4 linked regions of the Saccharomyces cerevisiae S288C genome follow. Changing the gene in region 3 together with the main gene of any one other region gives a genetic interaction. Each region holds a gene or a part of one and is shown on either strand. Other genes may lie near its edges.

What was found.
Region 1: mutations in GRE1 (region 3) and YJL163C together harm fitness more than expected from each alone (negative genetic interaction), as found in Saccharomyces cerevisiae (2 studies listed by BioGRID).
Region 2: mutations in GRE1 (region 3) and ETP1 together harm fitness more than expected from each alone (negative genetic interaction), as found in Saccharomyces cerevisiae (2 studies listed by BioGRID).
Region 4: mutations in GRE1 (region 3) and CYC1 together harm fitness more than expected from each alone (negative genetic interaction), as found in Saccharomyces cerevisiae (2 studies listed by BioGRID).

What each region holds. Positions count from the first base shown.
Region 1 is NC_001142.9:111,087-115,289, reverse strand, and holds YJL163C (uncharacterized protein), read left to right. Parts: upstream 1-1,956; coding exon 1,957-3,624; downstream 3,625-4,203. Other genes in the region: JJJ2 (Jjj2p), read left to right, coding at 1-1,412; cAMP-dependent protein kinase catalytic subunit TPK1, read left to right, coding at 4,131-4,203.
Region 2 is NC_001140.6:81,353-85,295, forward strand, and holds ETP1 (Etp1p), read right to left. Parts: upstream 2,370-3,943; coding exon 612-2,369; downstream 1-611. Other genes in the region: ribose phosphate diphosphokinase subunit PRS3, read right to left, coding at 1-264; YAP3 (Yap3p), read right to left, coding at 2,716-3,708.
Region 3 is NC_001148.4:127,972-130,990, forward strand, and holds GRE1 (Gre1p), read right to left. Parts: upstream 1,168-3,019; coding exon 661-1,167; downstream 1-660. Other genes in the region: MMT2 (Mmt2p), read right to left, coding at 1-117; FMP40 (Fmp40p), read left to right, coding at 2,191-3,019.
Region 4 is NC_001142.9:524,414-527,170, reverse strand, and holds CYC1 (cytochrome c), read right to left. Parts: upstream 837-2,757; coding exon 507-836; downstream 1-506. Other genes in the region: UTR1 (NADH/NAD(+) kinase), read left to right, coding at 1-287; ANB1 (translation elongation factor eIF-5A), read left to right, coding at 1,790-2,263.

The sequences.
Region 1 (4,203 bases), on a different chromosome or scaffold from region 3:
ATCATAGGCAAAATAAACCTTATGAGCAACAGCCCTACGGTTTCGGTGTAGGCAAAAAAATGACCTCAAGCTCTAAGAGTAAGGTTCCGATATTCAAGTCCTTCAATTTAAAAAGCTACCAACGAAACCACTATTATTCATCCAAAAAGGAAAGGAAACATGGAAGTCCTGATATTGATTCTTTGTTCCATGAAACCAATGGAGCCTCAAAAGTAAGAATGACTGATGCCGGTAAAATGGATACGAACTCTCAGTTCCAAGAAATATGGGAAATATTGGGTAAAAATGCGTACACACATAAATCTTACTCTGAAGATCCAAATTCATGTTTGGGATCAGCACTAAGCGATCATGAAGAAGAAGAAGAAGCAGGAAAACAACAACAGCAACAGCAGCAACAACAGCAACAGCAGCAACATTATGGAATGACGTCGAAGTCTAGCAGTCCTGATGAAGAAAAAAAAAATAATAAAGAACCGAAAAGGGAAAGCAGAGTCTCTCCAGAGGAAAATGGCGAAGAAGAAACGGGACACAAACAATTTAAATTGCCCAAGACCAGTACTTTTTCTAGTGGATCCCATGATTCAAATTTGCAATCTCCTTTTTACAATCATGAGTATCGACATTACGCAAGAAGTAAATTCGAATGCAAGAATCAGTTTAGAAAGTCAGTTTCTCCCATTAAAGAGATACCTGCAACAACTAGTGCCAATGAAGGATGGAACATTTTGAGAGACATTATTGAAAAACTCAATATAAGCAATGTAGACGATCGAAATAAAGACTTGCTGTTTCGTCGGGATGAAATAGGTGATAAAAATCACAGCGACTCAATCGACATAGAAAATTTATCTATCAAAGAACCTAAAGGGATGAAAAGGAGAAAGAAAGATGATATATCTTTAGAAGAATTGTTCCAATCTTTACCAAGAGAAAAAGATTATTTTATGATGGATGCAATTAATGACTCGTTAGAATCAATCAATCTTTTTAAAAAGCCGAAGACCACTCAGAGTCACGAACAAGGTGGAACTTTTGCCCAAGCAGAAAGTAATCGTGCAAAATTCAAACCGTTACTAGAACAGTGTGGAATTACACCCGAGATCTTAGATTTGGAAATACCAGAGATTCCGGAATTTGATGCAGTGGCTGACCTTGAAACATTGAAGCTTAACGTGCAGCTGTTTAATAACCAATGTAACAAACTTAAAGAAACAATACATCAAGTATCATTACAGCGCCTGAGAGCAGATACGCAGTTCAGTGATATGTTAACCCAAAAGCAAAGTATTATGGTTTGGAAAACATACCTAGAATTTGATAAAAGTTTAATGGACAAATTGAACATCTTACAAGAAAGACAGATGCAGGTCATTAAAATTTTTTCCGAAAGATGTGACGGTAAAGTATAATCGAACGCTCTTCTTAATGAGCATATACCCGTCGTCCTTACGCCAGGATGGAAATAATTTGAATGAATAATGTAAAATATATAAAAGTATCTAGTCAGTACATTTCATGTCTCAATTATTAATATCTTAAATATATATTTAGTTATGGAAATTCAATAAACTACTGAAATAAATAGAAAATTCTTACAGAAAATGGTAAAAGTAAAAAAAAATTACCAAAGGGTGCACTTGGCAATTTAAAAGTACTTATAAACTGGTTTGGCTTCCAAGTGAATGAAAGTGCTATGGGATTATCATCAGGTAAGTACAGTGTATCTTACTAACATTGGCCGAGCGTTTATTGTTGTTCCGTGGAAGTTTATCATGATTTCCCGCCCTTAATCGAAATCAAAAAAAAAAAAAATAAAGGGTAAGGGATTCCTAAAAACCAACAAGATGAAGGGCTGATCTGCAAGAAGTCTAATAGACTTATAAGGAATACAAACCCTAGTTCTTGCATTTCACGTATACATCTTCAAACCGTGCGAAGCAAAGGCGCAGAACAATGTCAAACGAGGATGAAACAACTCGTTTAATGTCTTCAGATGAGATGGACTATTTATTGGAAACGGCTGGGATCAACGCCTTGGAAGAAATCATTAGTCAAAATGACAGTACTGGAATAAATTTGGATACTAATGAAACAGCTCAGGACAGTAGCTATGACTCTATCCGGCGCTCCCCCAGTATTTTGAGTGTTGCCAAAAGCGTTGAGGGAGAGCATGGACGTAGAAAACTATTATGCCTTTACGGCCTTGTTATGATTATCTGTATTGCGGAGTCTATTTCTATGACTGCTACAATACCGTTGGTGATGGACAAGGTAGCGGAAGGAATTTCAGATGAGAATGGACATTATGATTCCGTGGCTGTACAGACAATAGTTTCCAGCATTTCTTCATCCACTATGATGATAGCAGGGGCAATCAGTATTTTCATGGCTGGTAAGTGGGGAGAATTATCCGATAGAATAGGAAGAGTGCGTGTTTTCAAATACATGAGCGGCATCAGGGTCATAGGGCTTCTTACGCACGTCTTTACCCTATCATCGAAAATGAAGTATCACAAATGGGCTATTGTTCTTACTGCGTGTATCGTACCATCATTCGGTGGCTTGTTTGCGCTAGTGGCGAATGGAAATAGTTACGTTTCAGATATAGTGAAAACTGAGCACAGAATGGTGACAATAGGAATAATGATGAGTTGTATATATGCCACTATGGGCGTAGGCCCAATGTTTGGGTCCTTTCTGGTGAAGTGGACTCATGGAAACGGGTTCATTCCTATTTACACATCAATAGCGTTTGTTATACTGGCGCTTATAATATGTGAGACAATCATGGTGGAACCGCGCCATGAAACCCAAATGGCCCATTCACAATCAACTTATACAAAGAGGAGAGAGAAACTAAGATCACAATCGGGTTCTGACGATGCAAGAAATTACCAATCCGTTACTTATGGAAAATTTCAAATAATGAGGTTAATGGACCTGCTCGCTCCAGTAAAAAAGTTATGGCTGAAGCCCGACAGTGCAGGGTCTTTAGTACCCCGGCATACCGTAATATTACTCATTGTACTCGATATACTATTTGTCTGTGGAACGACATCGTGTATGCCAGCATTGATTTTGTTTTCTACATATGAGTACAAATGGCATGCAGTAGAGCTAGGTTATTTCATATCGATACTGGGTATCGGAAGAGGTGTTGTGTTACTGGTCGTATCACCTACATTACTGTACACGCTAAAGAGGATTTATCAACACTTGAACCATTCGATAGACAAGATAGACATCTTTTGCATACAGTTTTCTATGATTGTTATAACACTGAGTCTCTTTGTCATGATACGATTTGGCGAGAAAACTCCCACATCCATGATAATATTCGCTCTTTTACAGGCATTGAGCGCGTTTTGTTCACCAACTTTGCAGTCTGGTATCATAAAGTACACCTCTAAGAAACATACAGGCGAGATGTTCGGAGCAATGGCTTTGGTAAGGTCCTGTGTTATGCTTGTCATCCCTCCCATCCTCCTTAAGCTATATGGAAGTACTGTCTCCGTTAATCCTAGTCTGTTTATGTATATACCGTTCTCAACAAGTATTGTTGCCATCTTGTTGACATTCTTCCTAAGAATTTACAAGAACCCTCCGCTGGACGGGCCTTAAAAACATTTACATACCGTATACACCACATATTTTTAGTTACTTGTTCGAAGCTGTGCTGCTATTCGTTCTTGCAAAGCCAGTGTCCTAACGACTTTGCTTATGACATGATTCAACATAGTGTTGTTGTGGTTTTTTCTACGTAATCATGATGATCTTTTTTTTCGCGCTATTAGGGGGGAGGGAAGGCGGGATCTGGTAAAAGTTTGACATAATAATCAAGGGGGATATCGTATCCCTTTACTTGAAAACTTGAAAAATATTCATCTACTATCTCTGGCCAGAAAAACGTGAGAATTTTTAGGTGCGAAACATCATAGAAGCTGCGATTGTATCCATCTAAGAGTTTTAATTTGATAAAGCTAAGGAATCTGACCCTATACTTTTTTTTTTGTTTGGCTTGCTTGCATTTTCAATCGGCTTCAAAGGTAGCACAGAAAGTAGTGTTCTCTTAGCTTAAGCAGTGCATGAATTATAGCTGATTGTGTGAAAGAATCTTTTTTTTGGGTATGTCGACTGAAGAACAAAATGGAGGTGGTCAAAAGTCTCTAGATGATAGACAAGGTGAGGAATCACAAAAAG
Region 2 (3,943 bases), on a different chromosome or scaffold from region 3:
GATTCTTCTTGCAGACGCAGTCTTCGAAGCATTGATCATGATCAGTAGTTCTAGAACACGATCGTTCACGACACCAGAGCCAATTTGCGTGATGATAAAGATATCTTGGTCCCTAACAGATTCTCCAATAGAAAAGGAAACCTCACCGGTTGGATCTCTCTTTAGTTTGCTGCTTGTTAACTGTAGACCTAGCCTTTTGGCAACAAGTTCAGCTAAACCTCGGTGGACATCTGGTGCTAATAATTTGATGGAATTTGTTGGCATTTTGTAATCCTAAGTGAATATATGAGGCTCAGTTTGAATGGGTAGGTTCGTTTATCCTGCGCTGGCAAAGTACGTAGAAAAAAGAGTATGAATCTTTCTTAGATATATTCAAGAAAAAGTAAGTAAATAAGAGGGTACGTGATTATAAACAGATACGAGTTTAGCGAATAATACCGTTCGCAATCATAACTTTATAAAACTCATCCTATTACTTACTATTCGACTGGAAAATTTTCGCAGGCAAAAAAAAAAAAAAAAAAAAAAGAAAAGAAAAATCGATGAGCCTGCCGTACACAGAGATATAATAAATTTAGAATGCAAGAATGGTATGGCGGTGATGAAGATAATCATTTCCCTGCTTTTTTATTTTTGTTGCGCTTCTTCTTGCTTTTGGATGCCTGTGCTGCCCCATGTGGTTGCTGTATTAGGATGGTACCTTCTTTTACACTCTCATCAGCGTCTTTGAATTTTTCTTGAGAATCTAGATAAAACATTAGGTCCTTGACTTGCTCTTCCAAATCTTGTTTAGACTCTTCTAACGCTTTGTTTTCTCGCTCTAACTGCTCTTGTTTTTTTGATAAGTGATCTAGGTTCGCTTGTAGTCCTTCGATTACTAACATATCTTCCTCAAGCTTAGATTTCTGGGCCATTTCCCTTTTCTGCCACTCCTTTTGAGTGACCTGAAATTGGAGTTTCAAATCTTCCATAGACTTCTTCAAACTTTCAACATTCGAAGAATCAGACGCAGTTTGATCTTTTTCTTGTAATTTCAGTTCATAATATTCTCTTTGAGACTCTAATTGAGATATTAGGACTTGCACATATTCTAGATGATACTCCCTATGCCTTAAAAAATTTGCCGCCAGCTCGCCATCTTTTTTATTAGAGTTCGATTTCTCACCGTTTTTGCTCCTGTTCCCGTAAACAACATTTTGTAGTTCATCGGAGTTGCCTATATCATTGTTGTCATCGTCACCGGAGCCGCCGACCTCTACTAACTTCCCATCAACTTCATTTTGAACTAGGCGATGGACATAATTATCACCCGCATAATCCCACACTCTTTGTGTCCGTATATCCATCGCAAAACAATGTAAAGTTTCTTCATAATGCTTGATTGCGTGTTTGGAATTGTAACGACCGCATCCAACATTACCGCAGATCAAGCAAATCCATAGATTATCAGTGGAACCACATGTTGCACAATGTGCGGAATCACCTGCCTGTTTCAATAATGATTCCCTGCTTAGCCGCAGACTTGAATGTCGACACACTGGACACCTTGAATTCTTCCACTTATTTAAGCATTGGCAATGAAAAGTGTGCTGGCACGGGATCGTTACTAATCCAGTAGTTTCTGAATCCATTCTTTCAAGGCAAACGGGACATGTGGGGAGTTCGACTTTTACCAGTTCCTTTTTTTTCTTAACAGTGAATGGATCAGTAAGCAGATAGGGGAAGTCCTCGTTAGCGGCTGGTCTTTGGAAGAGCTTTTTTTGAAAAACTATTTCTTTTACAGAGATCACATGGCATGTTTCGGGATCCATCCTGCTGAAACTTTTGCCATTGAACTCTTCCTTGAAATTTTTCGCATCAAGTGCATTCCTGAATTTAATTAAGACCGTGAAATTAAAACCCATTCCCTTCTGCTGATTTCGTAATATACGAAAGTTTGAAACTTGCTTATTAACAATATCATCACCAATATAAAAATGCAATAAATCGTGAACGGTAAAATAAGTTGGAACAAACAGGATACATATCATAGTATCATCTCCCGGGATAGTCAAAATCTCCTTCTCATTAAGAGTATTATTGGCATTGCTTAGCTTGAATAGCCTTATTATCCCATGGCCTAAGTATTGTGAAGTAATCAAATCACTTTCCTCTTCTTTTGATGTTTGATTTTTGAAATCAGTTATCATGTCTATTTCCAAGTCACAGACTCTCCAATCCTGCCAGTCTTGATTATTACTTTTAATACTTTCTTCCCCGATACTTTTTGCCTTCAACTTTTTCGGAATACTCTTGAAAATTTGATAAGCGGATTCAACCTGATTTTGGTTTCCAAATTCTAAAGTAATGATATACTCAAATTGATCCATAGATGTGAGGGCCAACCAGAAAGTAATACATTCAATGCTACTATTCCGTTATTGCCTCTATGTGTTTTCCTTTGAACTTTTACTTAATCCGCGGGTGAAATTTCATTTTTATATTTTCCATTTTATAACAGGCCGTCCCCTAAAAACACCGCGTAAGAACATAGTTTATACACTTATATAAGTAAAAGGTGTAGTAGGTTGGAATGGTAAAGGGCGTATTGTGTGTCAATTATGCGATGAAAATGTATACTTCGAAGTCAATAAAAAAAGAACCTGGTTTGCCTCATGAAGATGTTGCCTGCCCTTTCTTATTTAGTGTTTGTAAGTTATTTTTGTCAAAGTCTATTCATTCATTCAAAGTAGCTTCCTCCACTAGAAAATCGATTAAACTTCTTGGATACGCAGGTCCATGGGTATGACAACATTCTTGTCCTTGCAATTTGCTCATAACGTATGTCACATCAAAGTCCCTCTCTTCTGAAAGTTTGTAAAGATACTCCCAGGTGGCGGGGACTGTTAGTACATGTCTTCCTGCTTCGTCAGTATACTGGGTATTTCGCTTCATAATTTCATTATCCTTTAGCGAATACTTGCCTTTGTGATTCAGTTTGCTTTCCAGGACCATAGAGGTAAAAAATTCATCTTTCGTTGGGAAAGAATATTTGTAGTTGGTATCATCTTCTATGTCCTTTGAAAAATTTTCATTACCACTCCGCAGTAGCAGTCTGTTCTCTGCGTTGATTTCAGTATTTGCCTTTCTTAGTTCCTCAATTTCTTTCAATAAACTTTGGCGGTTCCTTTCACTTTCTAACAATTTATCTTGTAATTCTTTCATTCTGGCTTCTTTTCTCTCTCTGAAGGCTTTTTGGGCGGCTCTGTTTTGAGCCTTTTTCTTTGCCTTAGAGTCATCTGGAACATTCTCATTATGAGCAACTGAGGGACTCCTCGAACTTGGAGATATACCATTATTTTTAGAAAAATAATTTGTATTACTATAACTATCATTATCATTATTATTGTTATCTGCCATAACATAGGTAGAGTAGTCGCCTGAAATAGGGGTTAGTTGAATTGCTTGAAGATCACTACCCTTAGGGAAAGATATGTTGTTCTGTAATAGCAAATCATTATTTGATCTGTCAAGGTTCAAAGCAGGACACTGGTCTTCCAAAATTGGGAAGGGTGCTGTTTGCTCGCTCAATAGGTCTGGTTGTTGTTTTATACATTTGCTATCTTCTTGGAATAGACTATTTCTGATACAACAATCCTCCTCTTGGCATTGAGGGTTAATAAATTTCATGAATCCGCTGGTATTATCATCCATATTAGAAGGCGTCATAACAATTGCTTCAGCCTTATTCTTCGTTAGTTTATACTGGAAGTAAAGCAAACACCTACTGCCCCTTTTATCGAAATGATAAACAAATAAGAAAGCTCAGAGGGCCTCCGGTAATATTCAAATCGATCTGTTTTATAATGCTTATTGAATAATAATGCCGTTGCTGTACTCTTAACATAAAGCTACGAAAATCCACTATACATTTTTCTAAAGAAAAAAAAAAAATTCAAAAAAA
Region 3 (3,019 bases):
TGTACTGTACAGGCTTGATGTTCTTATGGCCCTCCCGGCAGCATGGTAACTAGTGTTGTTATAACCTGGCACAAAGGAACCGAATTGCTTGATAGAGTCAATACTTATCCGTAGCATATCTTTATTGCGTTTGCTTTTTTGAGAAAGTAATTGCTTACACGTTCTAGAATAAAAAAGTATGGTTGTAAGAACGCACTTGAAAAGGCACCAATCTGCTCGGGTTTTTACAACTAACACTAACCTAGATGAGAGGTAAAAAGAAATCGTAAAAAAAAGTTGTTGCCCAGCACAATAACGACACTTTACCCGCTAATTCCAGGAGGTTTGAGTTAGACAACGACCTTCCCACCCCGTTTTCCCATAATTCTATTGTTATACACCTGGATCTGGAGGTCCGTGAAACGGCATACCTCGACGAAAAAGGTCACTACTAATCAAATCAAACTGACATTAATAAAAACGTATAAACTGACAGCTGTAGATCTAAATAAACTAGATTAAACATATGAAATAGTTTGTAAAAAGTGGCATCATGACCAATAATAGGTCCAGATGAAGAAAAAAGAAAAAAGAAGACGAAATTAGGGTAAAATTTCTCACTTGCTGCTCAAGGGTGAGACCCGCACCTCAGGCATGTAATAGAAGCTTCGACCACCGCATCTACCAGACGCCTTGGTTCCCACTATCATCATCATATTCATCGTTTCCTGACCCAGACAGATCGCGTCTACCGCTGCCGATATTAGAGGATTGGTAGCGGTTACTTTGAGCACCTCTTGTACGACCTTGTTTTTGCTGTTGGCCCGAAGTCAAGAAGTCATCGTCTTCATCGTCGTCCAACTGACCTTGAGTGTTAGTTTCGCGGTAAGTTTGGGTATAAGTGCCACCACCAGTGCCGGCAGTGTAGTCAGTAGTTTGTTGCTGGAAGTCGTTACCGCCAAACTGCGTGTTACCGCCTAGATTAGACTGTGGCTGCTGGCGTTGAGGGAAATTCCCTTGGTTTTCTTCGCCGTAGGGATCGGCCTTGGATCCTTGATTCCTGAATTCCCTCTGTTGATGTTTTTCATGACGCTGTTGTCTAGTCTGGTCGTCATTGTCGTCTTCGTAACGTTCATCATGATCGTTGCCGTGCAACTTATCAGCAAACTTGTTTAATAGATTGGACATTTCTTAATTGTTATTCGTACTTAGCTTTTATGCGGTAGTGTTTGGCTCTGCTGCTAGTAGATATTAAGAGTTGAGGGTAGGTATGTATCCTTTTTTTGATGAAATAGTAATGTGCTTTTATAGTCCAAGAAATATTGACTGCTTCAAGGGAGCCTGATTAACAAGCACGTAACGGAGACCAAAAAAAGGATTTCGGTCTTTTCTAACCATTTCCCTTTACTCCCTTGTGCGTTATTTGTTTTGATTACTAGGCATGATGTATGGAGGAACTTGCGATCAAATGTCATAAAAGTGGAGGAGTGAAAAGAAATGACGAAGCCCAAAACGTGGTCCTAGAATTACCACATTTCCTTTTTCTAAAGGAAGCCAGACTATGCTTTACGCAAGAACTGTGGTTAAAGAGGGATATTCTGATGAACATAAATTCATACACATTCATGAGAAGCACGACAAGGATTGGTTAATTACTTACAACTAAGGCAAAACTGCCATTGACCTCATCTGTACCACCACATGCTGTGTAGTTATTTTCCCTTTGTGATCCCTAAAAAAGATGGGATCTACACACCTTACAAGAACATCCTCAAACCCATACCTGGAACCACTGAACATATTCTTCCCGTGAAAGGCTCTACGGCGAAACTACTGTAATGTCACAGGAAATTAAGGATGCTTCGACTATGGAACGGACCATACATGGGGACCCGATGTATAGAAAGCCTCAATGAGGCAAAGAGTCTAGCTCCTTTAAGATACGTAATTCTCCTTCTGTTTTCCCTTAATTATTCGGGTGAAATACCACATGGTCGCACGGCTGACGGGGAACTCCGGAATTGGACGATGAAGAACTTAACGGTGATATGAGGTGATCGTGGAACAAAACGTTGTGCCAAAGAAGCCACAAATACGTCACTGTAATTATTCTGCCTGCATAAAAAGAGCCATCAAGGATAAGCTAGAGACTATACTCCGGAAGTAGAAGAAGGAAGGTGTGAGAAAGAAGATAGAGCGTGTAACACAATCATGGGGGAAAAAAGGACAATAATCAAAGCGCTGAAAAACTCTGCAGCGTCCCACTTCATCAAGAAGTTGACCGCAGATACTTCCCTGTCGTCCATACAAGAGGCAATAAACGTCGTGCAGCAGTACAATGCAACGGATCCCGTGAGATTAAAGCTTTTCCATACGCCTCGGATGGTTTCGCAGGGGGCTCATTTTGCATTTTGTTTGCCCACTAAGAAACCACATTACAAGCCATTACTGCTTTCGCAAAACGCACTTGATGAGTTTAATTTGGTGCAGGATCAGGACTTGGAGAAAATACTATCCGGTGAGAAAGTATATTATTCCGATAGTATCTTTCCCTATAGTACAGTGTACTCCGGATTTCAATTCGGCTCATTTGCTGCACAGCTGGGAGACGGACGTGTGGTAAACTTGTTTGATCTTAAGGACAAGTGTAGCGGACAATGGCAAACGTTTCAGTTGAAAGGTGCCGGTATGACGCCATTTTCTCGGTTTGCAGATGGGAAAGCTGTGTTAAGATCAAGCATACGTGAATTCATAATGAGCGAGGCGTTGCACAGTATTGGAATTCCATCCACAAGAGCTATGCAATTAACTCTGTTACCGGGGACGAAGGCGCAAAGGCGCAATCAAGAACCGTGCGCTGTTGTATGCCGTTTTGCGCCCAGCTGGATCCGCTTGGGTAACTTCAACCTATTCAGATGGCGGCACGACTTGAAAGGGTTGATCCAACTATCAGATTATTGCATTGAGGAATTGTTTGCTGGGGGGACCCAATTTGAGGGGAAACCCGACTTTAATATATTCAAAAGGGATTTTTTTCCTG
Region 4 (2,757 bases), on a different chromosome or scaffold from region 3:
GTATCAGTCGACAACTAAACTGGAATGTGAGGGAACAACAAAAGTCCTTTACGCATATTTTGTCCCAAAAGAACCAAGAAAAATATGCACATGAGGCGAACAAAGTCAGAAATCAAGCAGAACCTTTAGAGGTAATAAGAGATAAATACTCTCTGGAAGCAGACGCTACTAAGGAAAACAACAACGGAAGCGATGATGAGAGCGACGATGAGAGTGTAAACTGCGAAGCTTGCAAATTAAAGCCTTCGAGCGTCCCAAAACCTTCTCAAGCAAGGTTTTCAGTATAATGTTACATGCGTACACGCGTTTGTACAGAAAAAAAAGAAAAATTTGAAATATAAATAACGTTCTTAATACTAACATAACTATTAAAAAAAATAAATAGGGACCTAGACTTCAGGTTGTCTAACTCCTTCCTTTTCGGTTAGAGCGGATGTGGGAGGAGGGCGTGAATGTAAGCGTGACATAACTAATTACATGATATCGACAAAGGAAAAGGGGCCTGTTTACTCACAGGCTTTTTTCAAGTAGGTAATTAAGTCGTTTCTGTCTTTTTCCTTCTTCAACCCACCAAAGGCCATCTTGGTACCAGGAATATATTTCTTTGGGTTAGTCAAGTACTCTGACATGTTATTTTCGTCCCACAACACGTTTTTCTTGATATTGGCATCTGTGTACGAATACCCTTCAGCTTGACCAGAGTGTCTGCCAAAGATACCATGCAAGTTTGGACCAACCTTATGTGGGCCACCCTTTTCCACGGTGTGGCATTGTAGACATCTAGTCTTGAAAAGTGTAGCACCTTTCTTAGCAGAACCGGCCTTGAATTCAGTCATTATTAATTTAGTGTGTGTATTTGTGTTTGTGTGTCTATAGAAGTATAGTAATTTATGCTGCAAAGGTCCTAATGTATAAGGAAAGAATATTTAGAGAAAAGAAGAAAACAAGAGTTTTATATACATACAGAGCACATGCATGCCATATGATCATGTGTCGTCGCACACATATATATATGCCTGTATGTGTCAGCACTAAAGTTGCCTGGCCATCCACGCTATATATACACGCCTGGCGGATCTGCTCGAGGATTGCCTACGCGTGGGCTTGATCCACCAACCAACGCTCGCCAAATGAACTGGCGCTTTGGTCTTCTGCCATCGTCCGTAAACCCCGGCCAAAGAGACCGGAAAGATCGGTGAAAACATCTTGATCTTGCTCCCGGGAATTTTAGATTCAGGTAGGAAATTGATTACATCAATACTGTTACCCTGAATCATATTCGACGATGTCGTCTCACACGGAAATATAATTCATTTCTTGGTTTTCCAAAAAAATTTTCATTTTTTTTCACTTTTTTGTTTCGTCCTCCTTTTTTTTTTTTTTTTTTTATTTTTTTTCCTGTGTTCACCTTTTTTTTTTTCAGTTGACATCTTTCTGCATTCTTTTCTGTGTTTTTTTTTTTTTTTTTCGTTTTTCCATTGTTCGTTCGTTGCCTGTTTTTTCGCCCTATTGTTCTCGAGCCTAAAAATTTTTTCCTTTCCTGCTTTCCTTTCTTCGTTCAAAGTTTCCTATTCCATTGTTCTCTTTGGTAAACTCATTGTTGTCGGAACTCAGATATATTCAGGTCAATTTACTGTACTTCAATTGACTTTTTTCTTGAAATTTCAACTTGCCTTTTCAACTTGTTCTTCTTTTTTAATCTTATTCTACACTTTAGTTCCCTTACCTTGTTCCTAATTATTGTCTAGCAAAAAGAAAACATACACCTATTTCATTCACACACTAAAACATGTCTGACGAAGAACACACCTTTGAAAATGCTGACGCTGGTGCCTCCGCCACCTACCCAATGCAATGTTCTGCCTTGAGAAAGAATGGTTTCGTTGTCATCAAAGGTAGACCATGTAAGATTGTCGACATGTCCACTTCCAAGACCGGTAAGCACGGTCACGCCAAGGTCCATTTGGTTACCCTTGATATCTTCACTGGTAAGAAGTTGGAAGATTTGTCTCCATCCACTCACAACTTGGAAGTTCCATTTGTCAAGAGAAGCGAATACCAATTGTTGGATATTGATGATGGCTACTTGTCCTTGATGACCATGGACGGTGAAACCAAAGACGATGTCAAGGCACCAGAAGGTGAATTGGGTGACAGCATGCAAGCTGCTTTCGATGAAGGTAAGGATTTGATGGTCACTATCATTTCTGCCATGGGTGAAGAAGCTGCCATCTCCTTCAAGGAAGCTCCAAGATCTGATTAGATATTTTAGATTTCTATAGCTTACAAAATACGCGATGTTTTTTTGATCTAGAAATCTTATTTATACATTTTATATAATATTATAATAATCATAATCATAATTATTCATCCTAACTAACTTCGTTCTGTTTCAGCTACGAAGTTGCCTTCATTATCGCTACGTTCGTGTTAATTGGTGTTTGATACCATAGTCACTTATGACGACGTGCAGAACTTTTTTTTTTGACGGATATTTTCCCCTCAATATGCCGAGGATGATTACTTTATAATTTGCCTTCTTTCGGTTCCTTCTTCTTTTTAATTTAGCTGACGGGAACATGTGTATATACCCCAGAAGAATTTAAACAGAAATTTTTTTGAGCATTTTACGAAAATATTAAAAACTAGGGCTACAGATATCAGAGAAAAAATTACTTATATGATGACAATAACTTAATATCACAGTCACTATCGTTCTCGCCTTTATATGCGCAGTGACAGCATTCGACTTTTCCT